3 linked regions of the Danio rerio genome follow. The protein of the gene in region 2 purifies or fractionates together with the protein of the main gene of each other region. This does not show direct contact. Links are inferred from orthologs where the notes say so. Each region holds a gene or a part of one and is shown on either strand. Other genes may lie near its edges.

The links.
Region 1: the proteins of hsf1 (region 2) and ncl purify together in Homo sapiens (affinity purification with mass spectrometry; 3 studies listed by BioGRID, with this or other methods). This does not show direct contact. The link is inferred for Danio rerio from reciprocal best matches to the Homo sapiens genes HSF1 and NCL.
Region 3: the proteins of hsf1 (region 2) and hnrnpd purify together in Homo sapiens (affinity purification with mass spectrometry; 3 studies listed by BioGRID, with this or other methods). This does not show direct contact. The link is inferred for Danio rerio from reciprocal best matches to the Homo sapiens genes HSF1 and HNRNPD.

Annotation. Positions count from the first base shown.
Region 1 is NC_133197.1:38,757,324-38,763,969, reverse strand, and holds the start of ncl (nucleolin), read left to right. Parts: upstream 1-2,399; 5' UTR 2,400-2,533; coding exon 2,534-2,551; intron 2,552-5,313; coding exon 5,314-5,418; intron 5,419-5,498; coding exon 5,499-5,622; intron 5,623-5,718; coding exon 5,719-5,835; intron 5,836-6,191; coding exon 6,192-6,331; coding exon of another isoform or gene 6,332-6,332; intron 6,333-6,408; coding exon 6,409-6,538; intron 6,539-6,646. Other genes in the region: trim35-34 (tripartite motif containing 35-34), read right to left, coding at 1-135. UniProt on the Homo sapiens protein: Nucleolin is the major nucleolar protein of growing eukaryotic cells. It is found associated with intranucleolar chromatin and pre-ribosomal particles. It induces chromatin decondensation by binding to histone H1.
Region 2 is NC_133194.1:3,473,456-3,480,001, reverse strand, and holds part of hsf1 (heat shock factor protein 1), read right to left. Parts: intron 3,846-6,546; coding exon 3,737-3,845; intron 2,503-3,736; coding exon 2,366-2,502; intron 1-2,365. UniProt on the Homo sapiens protein: Functions as a stress-inducible and DNA-binding transcription factor that plays a central role in the transcriptional activation of the heat shock response (HSR), leading to the expression of a large class of molecular chaperones, heat shock proteins (HSPs), that protect cells from cellular insult damage.
Region 3 is NC_133185.1:5,487,097-5,493,700, reverse strand, and holds the start of hnrnpd (heterogeneous nuclear ribonucleoprotein D0), read left to right. Parts: upstream 1-2,173; 5' UTR 2,174-2,364; coding exon 2,365-2,525; intron 2,526-6,604. Other genes in the region: hnrnpdl (heterogeneous nuclear ribonucleoprotein D-like), read left to right, coding at 413-483. UniProt on the Homo sapiens protein: Binds with high affinity to RNA molecules that contain AU-rich elements (AREs) found within the 3'-UTR of many proto-oncogenes and cytokine mRNAs.

The sequences.
Region 1 (6,646 bases), on a different chromosome or scaffold from region 2:
CTGAGTATTCTCGCTTCTCCAACACTGCTGAAGACACTCTTGACAGAAACTGTGGCCACATGATAATATAACTGGAGTCTTGAAGATATCCTGACACACAGGACATGTGTAATCATCTTTAGCTGATGAAGCCATTTTGAAATCCACTAGTTTTAACTTTACTTCCACTACTTGAATGCTTAAAAGGAAAAACAAATTAAGTGTGCGATCCGCTGTGTGAAATCTAGATGAAGGTCTGCTTGAATGGAACAAGTGGGAGTCTCTTTCTGGTGAGCGTTTCAGTGGGCGGAGCCGTTGGGTTCAGTGTGTGTGTGTGTGTGTGTGTGTGTGTAGGGTGGTTCATATAAAGCACGCGTAAGTTACTCAAAGATGTGATTTCAGAGTTTGCATGCACACAAAAATATCAGTATGTTCATATTTCTTAACAATCTCTACACGGAAGAAAAAAAAAAAAACACGGAAAAGTGCAGCTCTGAGAAGATGAAGAATCAGGGTCTGGGAAGACGTTTTAGCATGATTGACATTGGCATCATCCAATCGGCAGGTAGCGCCGTCTTTTTTAAAAGCCTGATTGGTTGATGCTTGGGATGCCTCACGTGTGATTGTTTATATTTAAATTTACAAAATAAAAAAAATAAGTTTTCTTGTAAATATATTTTTGATATACAACAATAATAATAATAAAACTTTCGAGCAAATTTGTAAAATAAATTTCATGATTATATATAAGAAGTGCCATATAGACGAATTACCATGTTTGCAAACAACAAGGTACCAGAAGAAAAAAAAAACGGGAGCGCTAGCATTTACAGCGAGGCACAGAGTTTGTTTTTGTCTAAGAAATAAGTTATATTGACAACATACGTATATATATATATATATATATATATATATATATATATATATATATATATATATATATATATATATATATATATATATATATATACATATATATATATATAAATAAATAAATATATATGTATATATATATATATATATATAAAATTTACATAATGCTTTTAGCGTATTATAACAGCTCGTCACCCAGTGATAAGCACAGTGATTCTGTAAAATTAACGTTAAAGTGAGTGACATACCAGTTCATACTGACAATATACTGATCCACATTAGAAACATGACATGCCTTGCAATGACACACACACACACACACACACACACACACACACACACACACACACACACACACACACACACACACACACACACAGACACACACACATATATATATATATATATATATATATATATATATATATATATATATATATATATATATATATATATATATATATATATGGTAATGACATACCAATATATACTAATCATACTTGAAACATACTCAGAACACCTTAGCAACCACCTAGCAACCACTCAAAACACCTTAGCAACCACCTAGCAACACCTTAGAAATGACCTAGCAACTGCTAGCAACATCTTAGTAACCACCTGAAACACCTGAAACACCCTAGCAACCACCTAGCAATGCCTTGCAATGACACACACACACACACACACATATATATATATGGCAATGCTTTAGCAACCACTCAGAATTCCCAGGCAACACCTTAGCAACGGCCTAGCAACCAATCAGAGCATGCTAGCAACCACCTAGCAACACATAAGCAACGAGCTAGATCATCTATAGCAACCACCTAACACCTCCTTAGCAACCACTCAGAACACATCAACCGACTAGCAACATCTTAGTAACCACCTAGAACACCCTAGCAACTGCCTAGAAACACCTTAGCTACCGCCTAGCAAAACCTTAGCAACCACTCAGAACACATAAGCAACCACCTAGCAACGTCTTAGAAACCACCTGGAACACCCTAACAACTTCCTAGTAATGCCTTAGCAACAACTCAGAAGTCCCAGGCAACACCTTAGCAACCGCCTAGCAATGCCTTAGCAACTACTTATTAACACCTTAGCAACCACTCAGAACACCCTAACAACTGGCTAGCAACACCTTAGCAACCAATCAGAACAACCAAACAACTGAGTTGCAATGCCTTGCCAACTGCATAGCAACCACTGAGAACCCCTAGCAACATACCAAACTATATTGGAAACATGCTAATCTTTTGATAACTGTTTCAAACTTAAAACACTTCAGTTATTTAAACTTCACACTTTCAGACTCGGCTTTCTCAAGAGACCAAGTTTGTCTACGAACTTTAAATTTCTAGTTCATTCATTCATTCATTCATTCATTCATTCATTCATTCATACTGTTCAATGAGCGCAAAAAAATCAGAAAAAAACTGTTCAAAAGAACCGAATGGAGATAACGAGTCTGAACAGCAGCGACTCGGTTCACATTGAGCTTCGTGAACGCGCATATGGTAAACGTCATGGGTGTAGTGGGCGGGGTTTTTCAGGACGTACTAAAAGCGTATCGAGCGCTCTTTTCTGTCCTGTAGAGAGAAACACGTGTGACTGAACGGTTCTTACCATCTCTCTCTTTCAGTTATCAGCTTTACTGTAAAAACAGCCCTCAGTCATGGTAAAGCTCGCTAAGGTAAGATATTACCGTCAATCCGTTATTGTCGCTTTAAATGCAGCACGGATCTCAAAATGCGTATTTTCCTGTTTTTATTTTTACATTTGGCGAGAAGGCCCATGTGTGTGAGTTATATTTAGTTTAACATATATAATATTCGTCGGAATGTAAGGTTAAATATTCAAATACTTATTTAAGGATCAGTATTGACGGCTAAAATGAGCTAGCGTGTGTTTTCTGCTTTTCCTGTTTGTGAAGGTAACATGGCCGACCACGCTTCTGCATTTGCAGGCCTCAACAAACACGCATGATGAACATGCGTGGTGAATTTTAAGAAGACTCGTTTTGTGATGTTGTAAAAACAAATTGCGTTGATTAATAAACCCTGGGGAGGTGTTAATGTGTCGTGGATTTAGCTCCAAGGCATTTGTTCGCCATGCGTGGAAAGTAGCTAAATGCTAAACGCCTCCATTTTGGCTCTCTGTAGTGAATGTGGGGGCATTTAACACGTATAAGACCGTGCACTAAACACAATTGCGTTTTAACTCGTGTTTCACTGTTTATATGAGTCAAGTATGTAAATGCGGCACGAAATTTAATTTAATTACGTTATTTCTACTTCGCTGTAGGGTTAACGTGTGTTTTCCACGTGTTACGTTCAACCCACGTGGGATGATCCACGCGGGGAGTTTCGCGAGCAGTACTTTACTTTTTGAGTACTTTGTTACAGATCCATACTTAAGAAATATTCATTAACAGTCATAATTTTATTTTAGTTTATTATTTGTATAAGTACATTATTTACATTAAGTCATGCACTTAATAGTCAAATTTTAAAAGGTTGTACCACGAATGAATTATATGCAAAATCTCCAATAACACGTGTTACACCTTTAGTGATTGAAAGGTAAAAATGTTGGATTTTAGGAACCAATCTAAATATTTTAATTGGTGTTGTGCCAGTCTTGTATTTATCTTTTTTTTTTTTTTTTTTTTTTTTTTTGCACATTTGTCTTATAAATGTATTAATACTAAAGATGAAAAGTTTTAGATGAGAATTCAGATTTTTATGCGAAATCTTACGCTTGTTTATGCAAGATTGTGTTTGTGTTTTAAACATGCACAAGTTACCTGTGAACTTAATGAATGCCAAGTCTTGTTAAATGTACACAAGTCAACATTTGAGGATGGTTAAGACCTTTCATTGGTCAACTATGTCTGTCTTGAGACAACTTGGGTGTACTTTTTTTTTTCCCCCCCTAGATGTTTAGTTTATTTGACCCTTTCATAGCCCTAACTGCAAGAGCTAAGGGGGATGTGCGATTTGGAGAAAATGTCTTGATTGCAATTTTTGTTTTGACAGATTTTTTTGATTTGAGTCAAGATTCAGCTCAGTCTGTTTCACTGCATAGATATGATTATTATTATATATGTTATTATATATTAATAATATTAATTTCACCATTTATTCAAATTAGTTGTTAAATATTCAGAAATTGAAATCATTTTTCGCTTGAGCAAACAGTAAGATAAAAAAAATTACCTTTCCTTTTTGTGCATCAGCTCAAAGTAAGGAGATGATGTAGCTTATTTAAGGTATCTGCAGAATTGTAAAGTTTTAAAATTAAATATATATGAATTTTAGGCCTTAAAGTCTTTAATCCGCTGCACTATTGTGTTGTAGGTCTTAATTTTAAACTGGTCTTAATTTTCCTCTGTAAAGCTATACCCAATCAGGACAGCACCCGTCTAATAACTAACATTATATTTCATAAGTTTAAAAAAAACATCATTTACACTATTTGCATATTAATATGGTTTTATTTATCTTTGCAAAAACATTTGTTTTTAATGATATGGTTTTAACTTGGCCATTAAAAAATCTTTAGTGTTTAGCCTTGTGCAAGTCTGAATTGGTCTTAAATTTGACTTGCTGGAACTTGTAGACACCTTGTTATTATACTTACAATAATATAATAATTGTGAAAGTACACTCCGCAAATTAATGAGACCGATAAGAGGCAGATTGAAAAGTTCTGATTGGGCAGAACGAAAGTGTGCTCACTCAATCGGCTAGTAAGACTTGACATTTGCTCTGAGTGTGGGACATTAAGTACATATTCTACATCGTAGTGCATTAAATCAGAATAATTGTCACTGATTTAAGTGAACATTTGTATAAAAATTCATGTAGGGTTTTTTTTTTCATTAATATATATATAATGACATTTGAGATTTCAAGTGTGAAAAGATTAATAATGGATCATGCTATAAACATGGTGACATTCAGAATTTTGTATTCTTGTCAGCTTTACCAATTGTAAGTTTCTAATTCAATGCAATATGGTTTCAGCTATGACTGTTTATGAAGTATGAACGCTGAGCATACAGATGTATTAAATTTATTGCACTTTTAAAGCTTTATATAGCCTAAACAAGAGTAGCCACACCTCATGATCTCCAAACAAATGCTGAAGTGAAAGCGTTCGAATGCATCAAGATTGAATGTGTCATTGATTGAAGCTTAAACTATATGCTGTCATTTCTGCATAATGGCATCTAGCTAATTTATAAAGGGTGGAACTCGTGTTTAATACATGCACAAGTGCTAAAACAATCTGTTAAATCTTTCTTGCACCGCAGGACTGAAACTGAAACTGAAACCATTTGAGGTTTCTGTTGACTAAATGTGCAAAGCTTTGACTGTCTAGTTGCTAAATCAATTTCTAATCGCACAAATCAACATTTAAATTAATATTTTCATTGCTTGTTTGTTACAGGCAGCTAAAAAAGATGCGCCGCCGAAGAAAAAGGCACCTCCACCTCCTAAAGAAGTGGAAGAGGAATCCAGCGAGGAGGACAGTGATGACGATGAGGAAGAAGAGGTGAGGAGGCTGACAAATAATGCGCTTTATTTTTTTCCTGTTGCTATTGAAAGGTATTTAATGAACTGTGTATTCGGCAGGCACCACCAGTCAAAGCTGTAGCGAAGAAAAACGCGGCTCCTGTGAAGGCAGTGAAAAACGGAAAAGCTGCTGCCAAACAGGAGAGTGAGGATGAAGATGACGACGATGAAGATGATGAATCTGGTTAGCAAAGTTTTCAGTCGTGCATTTTTATTTTATTTTTTTTATTCCTTTGAGTCTGAAGGTCAGGTGTAATTTGCATTGACTTGTACTTCACAGAAGAGGAAGCTCCGCCTCCAAAGAAGGCCGCTAAAGCTCCAGCTAAAGCAGCAGCTCCTGCAAAGAAAGCAGCTCCTGCTGAAGAGTCCAGTGAAGAGGATGACGACGATGATGATGGTATGAAAACTATCTGCCTAGATGTTTATTAGATCAGCAGTTTTAAAGGGATAGTTCACAGTTATTAAATGACTCATTTACTCTCCCTCAAGTGGTTCCTAACCTGATTGACTTTTCTGAACACTGAAGATGATAGCCATTGACTTCCATAGTACAAAAAACAAACTAAGAAGATCAATGGTTACTGGTGTACAAGATGTTTCAATTTCTTTTTATTAGGCAAAGGGTGTGAAATTGATTGCATTTTTTGGGTGGTCTATTACCAAGGAAATTAAATGCATTATCAATTTTAATGAATTTAACCCTTTAGGCATGATTAAAATGTATTACTTTTATATAATCTTCTGTATTTCTAGATGATGAATCCGAGGAAGAGGCTCCACCTCCCAAGAAGGCTCCTGCCAAAGCTACACCAGCTAAAGCCACACCAGCCAAGAAAGCAGCTCCCGTGAAGAAAGCAGCTCCTGCTGAGGAGTCTGAGGATGACGATGATGATGGTATGTAATATTCTGGTTTTAAGTGAAATCAAATGCACAATGCGTCATCTAAATCAATGTCTTTGCTTCCATTTGCGAAGATGAATCTGAAGAGGAAGAAGCTCCGCCTCCTAAAAAAGCTGCAGCAGCGGCTAAACCTGCAGCTAAAGCACCTGCAGCCAAAGAGGAGTCAGATGAAGAGGAGGATGATGACGAAGAGGAGGATGGTGAGTGTTTGATTGAAATATTTTATGAAATGCTGCATGCTTTGTGGTGAGTACTGAAACCTTCTGATAATGCAGTGGGACAAATGTTAAATTATTTTAAGGTGGAGC
Region 2 (6,546 bases):
GCGGCAGAGGAAAGGCTATAAATGGGAGAACTGGAAAGTGGTGATGGAGCACCAGAGCGACGCCAGATTAAGTGCCCCAGAACCTCGGTCTCTAATCCACACTCAAGTCTCCAGCTGGCTTCAGCTCCGACCTGCTGATTATCGCAATCTGTCACCGAGCCAAAGGGGGGAAAGAGGGACACCAGGAGTTAAACTGGCCCGAGGAAACCCGGCAGAGCACATGGAAATCATTGATTGCAAAAAAAAAAACTATTATAATAACTTGGGCTGGTTAGACATCATCCCAGCTTTGCAAATTTCTTAAGGGGAAAATCTAAGTTGCAGATCTCTAAACAGAATTCGAGGGGCTTTTAAATGTTTCGGTTAAATCATGCTCTCTATTGATTAAATGTACATCTAACTTTGTAAAGAAAATTATAGATTTAAGCTGTTAATAACCGTGGGAACTTTTCTGTAAAATAAAAGAATATAAATGCCATTAACATGGTTTCAACTGGAAGAAAACATTTTTATTCTGTGTGTACAATTTAATAATTGCGAATATATGTACATATATGTTGTTATAAATTATATAGTATTTATATATTTTTATGTATTATAAGAACATCAAATTTACCTTTCTGAATGTTATGAACTAGGGCTGTCGATTAAATAAAATTGGTCTGTAATTAATCTAATGATTCAGACTATTACTGTGAAAACATGAAATTAAAAAATATTGCATAATATATTAACTCTATACGTTTAAAAGTTATTATTTAGTCATAAAAATATTGAAGAAAACAATATATAATTTTGAAATACCTTATATGTTGTCTCTGGTGGCCTGCTATTTATTTATATTACATTTTATTTGACTAATTTATGCATTTATCTGTGAGTGTTTATATTAAAAATGTTAAAAATGTATAAATACTAACAAAAATGCATCAATAAGTCAAATAAAATGTAATGTAAATAAATAAGTTCAGCAGATAAGTCTTGCAAGGTATTTTAAAATGATCAATTATTTTGTTGAATAATATACCTTATATGATGTCTGTGGTGATCTGTTATTTGTTTATATTAGATTTTAATTGACTTATTTATGTATTTTGTGAGTATTCATTTTAAAATTGTTAAATTAAATATAAATACTTACAAAATTGCATTAATAAGTAAAAAAATGTAAAATAAATAAATGAATAAAAGTTAGGAAATTTTAAAATTATAAATTATTTTGTTAAATAATATACCTCATATGACGTCTCTGGTGACCTGTTATTTGTTTATTTATTTATATTACATTTTATTTTACTTGTGCAGTTTTGTGAGTATTTATTTCAAAATTGTTCAAATAAATATAAATATTCACAAAAATGCACAAATAAGTAAAATTAATTTAATATAAATAAATAAATAAATAAATAAATATAAGGTCACCAGAGAAGTCATATAGGCATTTCAAAATGATAAATTTAGTTTAAAAAAATACTTTAGCCTATGACATCTCTTGTGACCAGTTAAAATGCATAAGTCATATAAAATGTATAATAAATAAATAAATAAATAAATAAAAGGTCACCAGATTCATTTTATAAGATATTTCAAAAAGATAAATTATTTTGGTAAATAATATACCATATAAGACGTCCCTGGTGACCTGTTATTTATTTACATTACATTTTATTTTACTTATTCATGCATTTTTGAGAGTCCTTATATTAAAATTCTTAAAATAAATATAAATATTTACAAAAACGCATAAGTAAAATAAAATGTAATATAAATAAATAGGAAATGTCATATGGTATTTCAAAATGATAAATTTTGTTTAATTTTTTTTTTATATATATAAATAAGAAAAGTATACTAATATTAATCAAAATATCAGAAAATGGCAAATACATCAGTCAAATGCATCCAGAATACATGAAAAAGTAAGGCCCCACAACTTGATAAACACCTACAGCACAAACTACACATATTGAGCTGGCTTCCAGTAAGAAAAGTCCATTAATCATAACTTATTAAATGTCTCCCAGTGGAAGAATGTAATTGTCAATTGTTGATCTAAAAAGCGAAACACTGCAGGTTTCAAAGCCTACCAAGAACAGCAGGGGAAACCCCCCCAAAATGCTGAGAGCTCATTACAGGTCTGACATCATAACAGCGTCCTAAATCAACTTCAGCCTCAATGTAAGCTGCTTTGGATTTAAAAAGCCCCTCTGAAATACAGACTAATTATAAAAACCATGAGGGCACTTAAAACCCAAAGTCACTGAGGGTCTAATAAACGCCCCGCTCATATACTCTCTTTTTTAATAAGATGTTTTATGATGTGCAGATGTAATTGTCTGGTTAAATCAGATGAGAACGCACTCACCGTGGTCACCTTCCTCTTAATATTCTCCAGAAGTTGCTCCTGTCCCCGGATGAAATATGGATGCTGGAACTCTGTGTCGTCTTTCTCTGGTTTTACCAGCCCTCCCTGCTCAATGTGGACCACTTTCCGAAAACCATCTGCATAATAAGAACAGAAACACATTACCATAATGTTCATAATGCACACTCCTTTCTCCATTCAACTTAAGTATATACTCAAATTTTAAATAATATTGAATAAGAAATGCATAAAACTACAATTATATTTATAATTATAATATAACTAAACCTCTAAGCTAAGTTAAATGTGGAAAACTTGGCATTAAAGTCATGGAACTGTACATAAGAGGTATTAATATTATTTTAAGAAATACTCAGTCTAGCTCATAAATGTGGTCTACTATTAATATCATAAACATCTGTACATAAAAGTATGATTATTATTATTATTATTATTAAAAAATACATTTAGGCAGCATTAATGTCATGAAACACTAGAAGTATGAAATGAGTATTTTTATTATTACAACATTATATTTCTAAGCTGCAAAATGTGGACAATCAGCAATAAATACCATGAAATTTTATAAATAAACAGTGTGATTATTATGTCTAAAAATAAATTTAGGCAGCATTCCTGTCATAAAATACTAAATAAAATGTCTATTTTTATTATTATTACAACAACAACATATTTTAGGCTACAAAATGTGGACAATCAGGAATAAATACCATGACATTTTATAAATAAAAAGTGTGATTATTACGTTTATAAAATATTTACAGGCAGCATTCGTGTCAAAACACTGTAAATTAAATGTCTATTTTTATTATTATTATAACATTATATTTTTAAGCTACAAAATGTGGACAATCAGGAATAAATATCATGAAATTTTATAAATTAAAAGTGTGAGTATTAAGATTATTATGTCATAGAATATGGAGGCAGCATTAGTATCATAAAAAATGTAAATAAAATGTCTTTTTATTATTATGACAACATTATATTTCTAAGCTACACAATGTGCACAATCAGGATTAAATATCAAGAAATATATAAATAAAAATATTATTATTATGATAAAACATATCTACATTGCATAAAATCTTGAAACACTAAATATGGAGAAAATGTGGACAATATAGAATTACTTATTTAGTGCAGCTTCATTTAAAATACACACCATCCAAAAATGTTCACATTATCCAACAAAACACGAATCAAAATCTTCCACGTTAACATTTATATGAGCCTAAACATTTATTCAACACCTTCAGCTTTAACCATCTAAGTCTATAAATAAAGTTTATTAGGTCATTAAAATGATTAAACAGATTAAAGCCATTATCATATTCCTCTTATACTTACACATATTGAGCTGGCGGACAAAACTGGCCATGTTGTTGTGCTTGAAGTATTTCGGCAGAACTTCTTTGGAAAACCTGCCCTGGTCGAAGACGTGGAAACTGGTGCCATTCTGAAAACGCAGTCAAACAGTTTTAGTAAACAATGTTAGCTTTATATTCACACACTAGGACTTTACAATTTCAGAAAAGTATTATTTACAAATTCTTAATAGGGAAATCATATTAGCAGCCAATGACAATCAAAGTACAACACTGTTCACAGTTTATTAAATATGGCTAATGTTATTTTAAATTCATACTTAACATGCTATTTCAGATCCAATTTTTAAAAGTAGCATGGTAAACCATATGGGTAACAACTTTACCTCAATGACCAATAAAATGTCCCTCTTCGGGCTGTCAGCTTAAAACAAAGTCACCAGCTAACAGCCAAATCCACTTATAATAGTCCAGAATTAGACAGCTGACAGATAGTGTTAATTCAATACTTTACAACTTCTCATGTGTTTATTTAGCGGCTCTGGTTTAAGCCTGACGGTTAGCGCCTTAACTATCACCCTACATTTTAAGTTCAATGACTTGTAAATTACATTTGATAAACAGTTTGTTAAAATAAGTTCAGGATTGGACAAAAAGAATCGTAATAAATGTGGTCAAAAAATCCCATCAGTGGAATTGTGACTGTTTGACACAGATATTGAGGTAAAGTTGGTTTTATATTCGCACATTCATTCATTATTAAGTAAACTGACTACTTGTGACACTGCCCTATATTGTTTACTATGCTACTTTTATATATTTGGTCTACAATTGCATGTAACAATTTGAAAACAACATTAGCGCTATTAATTGACGGTGAACAAAGTTGTGCTATGTAGCCATTAGCTGCTAATATGATTTCCCCATTTAGAATTAGCAAAGACTACTTTTTTAAAATGATATTATTCTTGAGAAAGCATGAATCTGTGACTATAGAACCAACTTTACCTCAATAAAGCCCTGTCAGTGGGATTGTAACTGTTAAGAGCTCAAATATAAACTAAAAGACAGCTCTCTAAATACATTGAAGCTCATTTTACACAGGTTGAACCATATCTATTCATAACAAAAGATAAATATTTAGGTAAAATCCCAATTCTGTGCCTTCATAATCAACAAACGTAGTGTTTATGAGGTAAAGTTAGTTCTATATTCGCACATTTGTTCCTTTTTGAACTAAGTGACAACTTCTGACAAGGCTCCTATATTGTTTACTATGCAACTTTTTTATATTCGGTCTGAAATCGCATGCAAGTATGACTTCAAAAGTAAATTAGCACTATCCAACTGTGAAAAATGTTGTATTTTGATAGTCACTGATTTCTCTATTTAGAATTAGCAAAGAATACTTTTACCGCAATAAAACCCTATCAGTAGGATTGTGACTGTTGATAGATCAACTAAAAGACAGCTCTCTAAATACATGTAGGCCCATTTTACACAGGTTTTACCATATCTATTTATAATAAAAGAAAAATATTTCAGTAAAATCACAATCCTTGGCCTTTACATTAAAAGATGTAGTGTTTATGAGGTAAAGTTAGTTTTACATTCGCACATTCGTTCATTTTTTTAACGAAGAGACAACTTCTGACACGGCCCCTATATTGTCTACCATGCTACTTTAATATATTTGCTCTGAAATAGTAGGCAAGTATGACTTCAAAACAACATTAGCATTTAAGTGACTGTGAACAAAGTTGTTGTATTTAGATAGTCATTGGCCGCTAAAAAGATTTCCATATTTAGAACTGGCCAAGAATACTTTTCAGAAATGATATTATGAAAGAGAACGTCTGACTGTGTGAATATAAAACCAACTTTACCCCAATAAAACCCTGTCAGTGGGATTGTAACAAATATTGTGAAATATAAACTAAGACAGCTCTCTAAATACAAGCCCATTTTACACAGGTTGAACCATATCTATTTATAATAAAAGATAAAAATTTAGGTAAAATCCAAATTCTGTGCCTTCATATCAACAAACGTAGTGTTTGAGGTAAAGTTGGTTTTATAATCACACATTCGTTCATTTTTTTAACAAAGTGACAACTTCTGACACGGCCCCTAAATTGTTTACCATACTACTTTTATATATTTGGTCTGAAATCGCATTTAATCATGACTTCAAAACAACATTAGCACCATTTAATTGACTGTTAACAATGTTGTACTAAGACAGTCATTGGCTGCCAATATGATATTAGGAATTTGCAAAGAATACTTATCTGAAACTATAATTTTAGGAAGAAAGTCTGAATGTGTGAATACAAAACCAACTATACCTCAATAAAACCCTGTCAGTGGGATTATGACTGTGAAGAGTTCAAATATAACCTAAAAGACAGCTCTCTAAATACATTTAGGCCCATTTTACACTGGTTTTACCATATCTGTATTTTGATAAAATCCCAATCCTGTGCCTTGATATCAATGAGCGTGGTGTTTATGAGGTAAAGTTGGTTTTATATTCGCACAGTTGTTCATTTATGAACTAAGTGTCAACTTGTGACATGGTTTCTATACCATTTACCATGCTACTTTTATACATGCGGTCTGAAATAGTATGACTTCAAATCAACATTAGCCCTATTTAAGTGACTGTGAACAATGTTGTTGTACTTAGATAGTCATTGGCCGCTAAAAGATTTCCATATTTAGAACTGGCAAAGAATACTTTTCTGAAATGATATTATTAAAGAGAACGTCTGACTGTGTGAATTTAAAACCAACTTTTCCCCAATAAAACTCTGTCAGTGGGATTGTGAC
Region 3 (6,604 bases), on a different chromosome or scaffold from region 2:
ACTTTGTGTGCTGAATAGTGATTCTTTTAACATTTACCTTTAGCAAATTTAGTTTTTACTAAGTAGTTGTCCCAACATATATTTATGTATACGGTTATGTGTAGTTTTTAATGCACATTGACTGTCATTTACATCAGTGTTTCTCAACCACATTCCAGGAGGACCACCAACACTGCATGGATGTCTCCTTTCTCCGTCACACCCATTAGATGGGTTTCAGTCTCTGCTAATGAGCTGATGATCTAAATCTGGTGGGTTTAGTTGAGGAGACATGAAAAATATGCTGAGCTGGTGGTCCTCCAGGAACATGGTTGAGACACTGATTTACATAATATTGTGTTTTTAGTTTTTTTCACATACATGTTGCATTTCTGCTACACCGGGCCTCATCACTGTATATATTAAATTATAGGTCAACAGAGCAGCTATGGCAAGGCCTCACGGGACAGCGGAAACCATCAGAACAGCTACCAGCCGTATTGATGAAGTGGCGAAACAATGGTAAGATTGCCTACTTGCTGCGCTCTGAGCTCGACCTCAATATTAAAGATCAATAGACAATAAACTAACAGCCTAAGGAGTAGAGTACATGTCTATAGATCTTTAATTGCACCTGTTTGTGTAGCCATTTTGCTTTTTTTAGCGTGCCAGAAAAGCGTAAGCGTTTTTCTGTAGGTTTTTTCCATTTTCTCCTCCTGCTTTAACAGGTGATCATAAAGGAATAACATAGAAAAAGTTGATAGCAATGCTAACAGGTAATGTACGGCTAAAAGGGTACAGAGTAAAAGGCGCCTCTCCTTATTTTTCCTTTCTTTCCCTAATTCTGATTATTGTACCTTGTTTGTACCTGCCAGCGGGGACTTCATTGCAGGCCGTGTGTCACCTGACCACGTCATTCTCTGGGCGTCGCACATAGCGGGCAGAGAGCACGGCATGCACGAGAAAGCGCTGTCCTGTGGTATGGTCTCTTCCAACTTCCTGTACCAGCGTAAAACAAACAAACAAAGGAGATTTTCCCCCATTTCATTAAGTTGTTGGTTTTCGTTAACAGTTCCAAATGTTTTTTTCCAGGACTTTGTTAATGTAACCTAAAAGTGATTGATAACTGCTTTGTTGTATGCTCTTTTTTTCAATTGTAGTGCTCTTGTATTTCAGTTGTGGAGCTTCAGTGATTGATTTATTAATTTATTTCTTTGTAATGTTTGGTTTTTGGTTACCTCCCCATGTAAATAATTGCATAAACTCTCTCATAATGCTTGCTTTTTCTTTAGAGGCCATAGAGAACTTCAAATGGGTACACCTCAGTGCTTTTTTCTTAAGCATAGCCTTTAAAGATCATATGTAAAGTGAGTTTTACGAAGCCATTAAAAGCTGAGAAATCTGATTTAAAACAGTTCAAGGATTGGCTAAAGTTTTTAATAACCATACCGTTTACACAGGATAAAGGCTAACCTGTTTGGGCTCGCTCCTCGATTGGTCCACAAACCGCTTGGAGCTGAGGCTTTTGCTGGCTTATGAGCTGTTCTGTCAGTCGGAGACGTTTAACATATGATCTTTAATCCTTAATGATGGTTTTCCTAGTTTAAAATCGACAGCTCAAGAAGTTAAACACTGAAACATGGACGTGCTTTGCTCGAGGTGTGGAAACCGGGTGATTCATCTCTGCTCTCTTCTCTTGTAGGTGGGCAGGTTGACTTCGACATTGCTCCTCGGAGGCAGCTTGTGTGGAATCCTGTCCTTAAACAACTATTAAAAACGTTATTCGGTCCTCTGGGGACAAATCCAGTGTCTAACCTTGTAAATAGCGAGGTGTTTCGTTTCCCAAGTTTGTCTTATTCTGTGCTTTGTTCAGATTGAACCTGTAGGTTTTGTGCTGATGTGTTCTTAAGTCTTGATTAGGAAAAGTGTCCTTTATTTTGTATTTTTAGTTCTTTTCCTGACGTTTTTGGATAAAGGGATTAAAAATTCTGAGAAAACCAATGTTTCTTTGTCGTGTGATTATTTTATACAACATTTATGACTAAGTTTTTTTAAAATATGTAATGTACATATAATAATTCAATATTATGCATTTAAAAGGTTTGAGATAAACAAACTAGATTTCCAGCCCTACAGCCAATGAGCGTGAAGCGACGTTGACGTATTTTGTAACCTTAGTGACGCCATCCCGTTCAACTTCCGGTTCTCCGCCATTTTGTGAATGGACGCCGTTGCCATCGACATTCTGAAATCAGACTAATACAAACGCGAATTTGAGCCGCATTAACACGATTTATAGGCATTTCGCTTCGGTTACGACCTAAGACGTTTTCGTCTGTAGAAACGACTGTAGCCGCGCGTGTTTTCGCCAATAGTTGATCAAATATGTCGGAGGAGCAGTTTCTGGGCGAAGACCCGACGATGAAGATGGAGGAAAATGATGATGGAGAAGGTTTCGGCGAAGAGCAGATGTCGGGGGATAATGGAGGACAGGGAGAAGCCGAGGGCTCCAAGATTGATGCCAGTAAAAATGAGGAGGACGAAGGGTGAGTTTCGGCTCCTGATGCACCATGGGAACAGACTGTAACCGAAGAATAAAATAACCTTGAGTTCATACATCGCTTCCCAATAGTAGTCGATTAGATGAGTAATTATCAACAAGGAATCGTTTTATATTAATTTAAAGTATTATAATCATTGCATTAATATTTGTGGTCATTATGCAATATTAATATCGTTATCAAAAGTGGCCGGTTGTGTAAATAACATGAATATGTGTGTCGGAGTATCGATTGATCGCTTTGCATACGTTTGTAGTAATTAATGTGGACTATCAATTGAAATGCTTTCAAAGCATTTGGTGATTTTAATGTAAATGAAGGTTTATTAAAATGTTTTCTATCTTTTGTTTAAAATATAACTTACTAGTCATATCCTAGTACAGGGTATCTGCTGTGTCTAAAATTGTCTTGAATCTCAAAAGCTAAATTTTAGGCTTTAAGAAGTCTAAATATACTGAAACATCGTGTTGTAGGTCTTAAATCTTTTTAACAGGTCTTAATTTTCCCTTGTTCATGTGTAGCGACCAAATCTAGCCATTAACAGCCATACATTCCCAATCTCTATAAAAGTCGTTTTAAAAATAACATTTATACCATAAAGTTATTATTACTTACAGTAACATTTGTTTAAAAGTTACTGCCAAGGATACTGACCTGACCTATATATTTTCATCAATAAATTATTATTATTGTATTATTAAATTTAAATACAGTGGACAAAAGGTAAAAATATTCAAATGAAAAAAAATCCTTAGCATTTAGCCTTGTATATTTCTAAAATTTCATTCATAATCTTCTTAAAAAATCTTAAATTTAACTTGTTGAAAGCGGCAGAAACCCTGTAATATTGTGTCATTTACATGCATTAACAATGATCAGTTAAATTTTTATTTAGTAAATTGATGAAAGAATAATAAATACTTTAACAGATGTATTGCCCGTCTCACTGTAAAGTGTTCCCTAATATTCGTTTGATAGTTCACCCTAAAATGAAAGACACTCAAATGGTTTCAAACCTTTTTCAGTTGAACACAGAAAAAGATATTTTGAAAAATGTTGCCAAGCTGTAGCCATTGACTTCCATAGCAGGAAACATATACTGTGGAAGTCAATGATTTCCAAAAATGTTCAGAATATCCTTTTTGTGTTTTTACAGAAAAAAAAAACTCATTGAGGTTTGTTCAAGTGGAGGATGAGTGAATGATGACAGAATGTTCTGTTTTGGGTGAACTGTCGCTTTAATGGACAGCTGCAAGTTGACTCATTTTCCAAATACATTTGCCTTTCAAATGCAGCTTTGTCAAATGTCAATTTGACAAAAGCATATTTTGAGAAACTCGGATTTAGAACTGAATGGTGTTTTTTTGTCTAGTATGCATAAATGAATTACTTTATGACAAAACAAGACTGAAATATAATCATCTATGGTCGGTTGCAGAAACTACTTAGACTAGTCATACAAGGTAGTCATTGTTTATATAATTATTATTTCCTATAAAGACTGGTCATAACTACAGGTATACACGTGTAATAGTCAATATGGAAAGTTAATAAACATCAATTATTTTGCTGCTAATCTGCAATGCTAATTTATTTTTAAAATGAAAATTAAATCTAATATTTATGGTTGTTTTAATTTTTGTAAGAAAATAATGAAATGCTTCTGTTAATCAACAGATTCTCTTGACTAGCCTGGAAAGATACTCCATCACAGTTACATTTTCAAATGCACATCATAGACCATTTTATGGGACGTAAACAAAAACAATAGTCCCAATGTATTTCCTGTTTTACATTTTTTATTTCTGTAGCTTTCGAGAATCCAAAAAGAGCCACATATTGATAAATGATGTTATGACAGCTATTTTATCAAGTTACGATTGAATTGCCTCTTGTTACAGTTATGAAATAGTTTGATAACATGCAGGAAATGTTCATGGGCCAATGACATGACCACATTGAAATGGTCTATAAGCGACTCAGACTCAAATGCAGCATTCGCGAAGACGGCATTCAGAAGAGCAGGATTTATTTACAGTGAACCGAGGTGCACTGAGTCTAAAAACACTGTTATCATGAGCTGCTTATGTTAAAAGTCACAGTGCTGCACATCACATTACATATAATTACAACCCAGTATTTGCTGTCTGACAAACATGCTAATCCATATCATGTTCTCAGGCATTTTTAGAATAAATGAAATGAAGTAACCTATTTACTCTACTTTGGTGTGTTAAGTTTATCCCTCCCGAGTTGAAATCTGATTAAAATCAGATAGAAATCACTCTAAAGAGATAAGTTTACCTCAAAATTAAAACGTTCTCACTATTTTCTCAAGCCTCAAGAGATTCCAAATCCAAACCTTTGAGTTTTTATCTTCTGTTGAACACAAAAGATGTTTTGAAGAATGTTGGAAACCTGTAACCATTGACTTCCATAGTAGGGGAAAAAACAAATACTATGGAAGTAAGGGGTTTTCAGCTTTATTCAAAATATCATTTGTTCTGTTCAAGTGGAAGGTAAGTAAGGAATTTGCACTATTTCCTTTTTTGAATTGTTTTTTCTTTTCCTTTAAGGAAAAGTTTTTTTTTTTTGAAGAACAAAAACAATCTAAGCCCACAATAGCATTCATTTATTGTTTCTGGAAAGTTCTCCGTCCACACCATATTGCTTTACTAAACAACGTACATCATGTGACCATACAATGTATGTTCAAGTATAAACAGGAAGTATGTGCTTCACTCAGCATGTGGTTACTAGGCAACTAGGGCTGTGCGATTAATCAAAATCGAATCACAATCGTGATTTGAATCGTTTCGATTAGCTAATCGCAAGAGGCTGCTATATGAAATATAAATTTAACTTCCCCCACCCAGAGCAAATGCATGACTGCCTTCTGTGTGTGACAGTCTTACTAGCCAATTGAGTGAGCTTACTTTTATTCTGCCCAATCAGAATTGCGCAACCGAACTATGCAGAACGCCCACAATAAAAACAAACAGGAAAGCGCGAACGAGTGGGATGATAGCATCTGCCGCTTCAGAAGCATTAATAGACTAATTAATGTTAAAGAAAATAAGCATGTCAGTAATATGGGAATATATTGGTTTCAAAGTCACAGACACCAAACAAAACTTGGTAATTTGCAAGAGCTGTTGCAGAATTGTGGCCACAGCATGAGAAAATGCAACAACCAGCACCTAAAAAAGTACCACAGGTGACGATATGAGGAGCATTTTGCTAAAAATGTAACTAAAAGTACTGCCAGTGACACTCAATCTAGTAGCTAGCAACAGCAAAGTACAATTTCAGAGTTGTTTGCTAATATAATTTAATACTGTTCCTTTTTTTAATTAACACTCACTGCATTTAGCAATAAGAAGCTACGATACAGATTGAGCTGAAGCTTGACTGCAAAATAAATTGCAAATCAAATCGAAATTGCAATATCTGTCAAAAAAAATCACCATTAGATAATTTCCCCAAATCGCACAGTCCTATAGTCAACAACAGAGTCTGCACTCCAGTCCATATTTTTATGCCCTTCACTCGCTAACTTACCTTCACCTCTTTTCCTCGGATGTGCATCATTGATTACGTTACACAAGTGTCGACCCCTGGTGGAACATCTGAATGGGTTTCAATAAATGCTCTTGAGCACTTGAGAATTACACTGTTGTGACGTCACAATCACATCGCATTCTGGAACACAGAGGTTCATAGTAGGCATATGAAGGGGACTCGCTCCCTCACTCAAAATCGAGGGATTCAAGGGGATCAGTTGGAAGTGTTGCACACCAGACGCGCACATTCGAATGAAATTAAAATGAAACTATTCAGATGTCGCTCTGTGGTGCGGCAGAAATATGAACATTGTTCTGAGTCATAGCTGGGCACCGCGGACAGCCACTGACTTGCGGCGCGGGTGTGCGTACCCTAATAGAAATCTATGTTTAGAATTTGAAAATAAGTGACGCATAGCCGAGCGACATAACCAATGTGCGACCCCCTTGAGGGTATGTTCATGTAAGCTTCCCTCGTTCACTTGATGAAGTGGAACACAC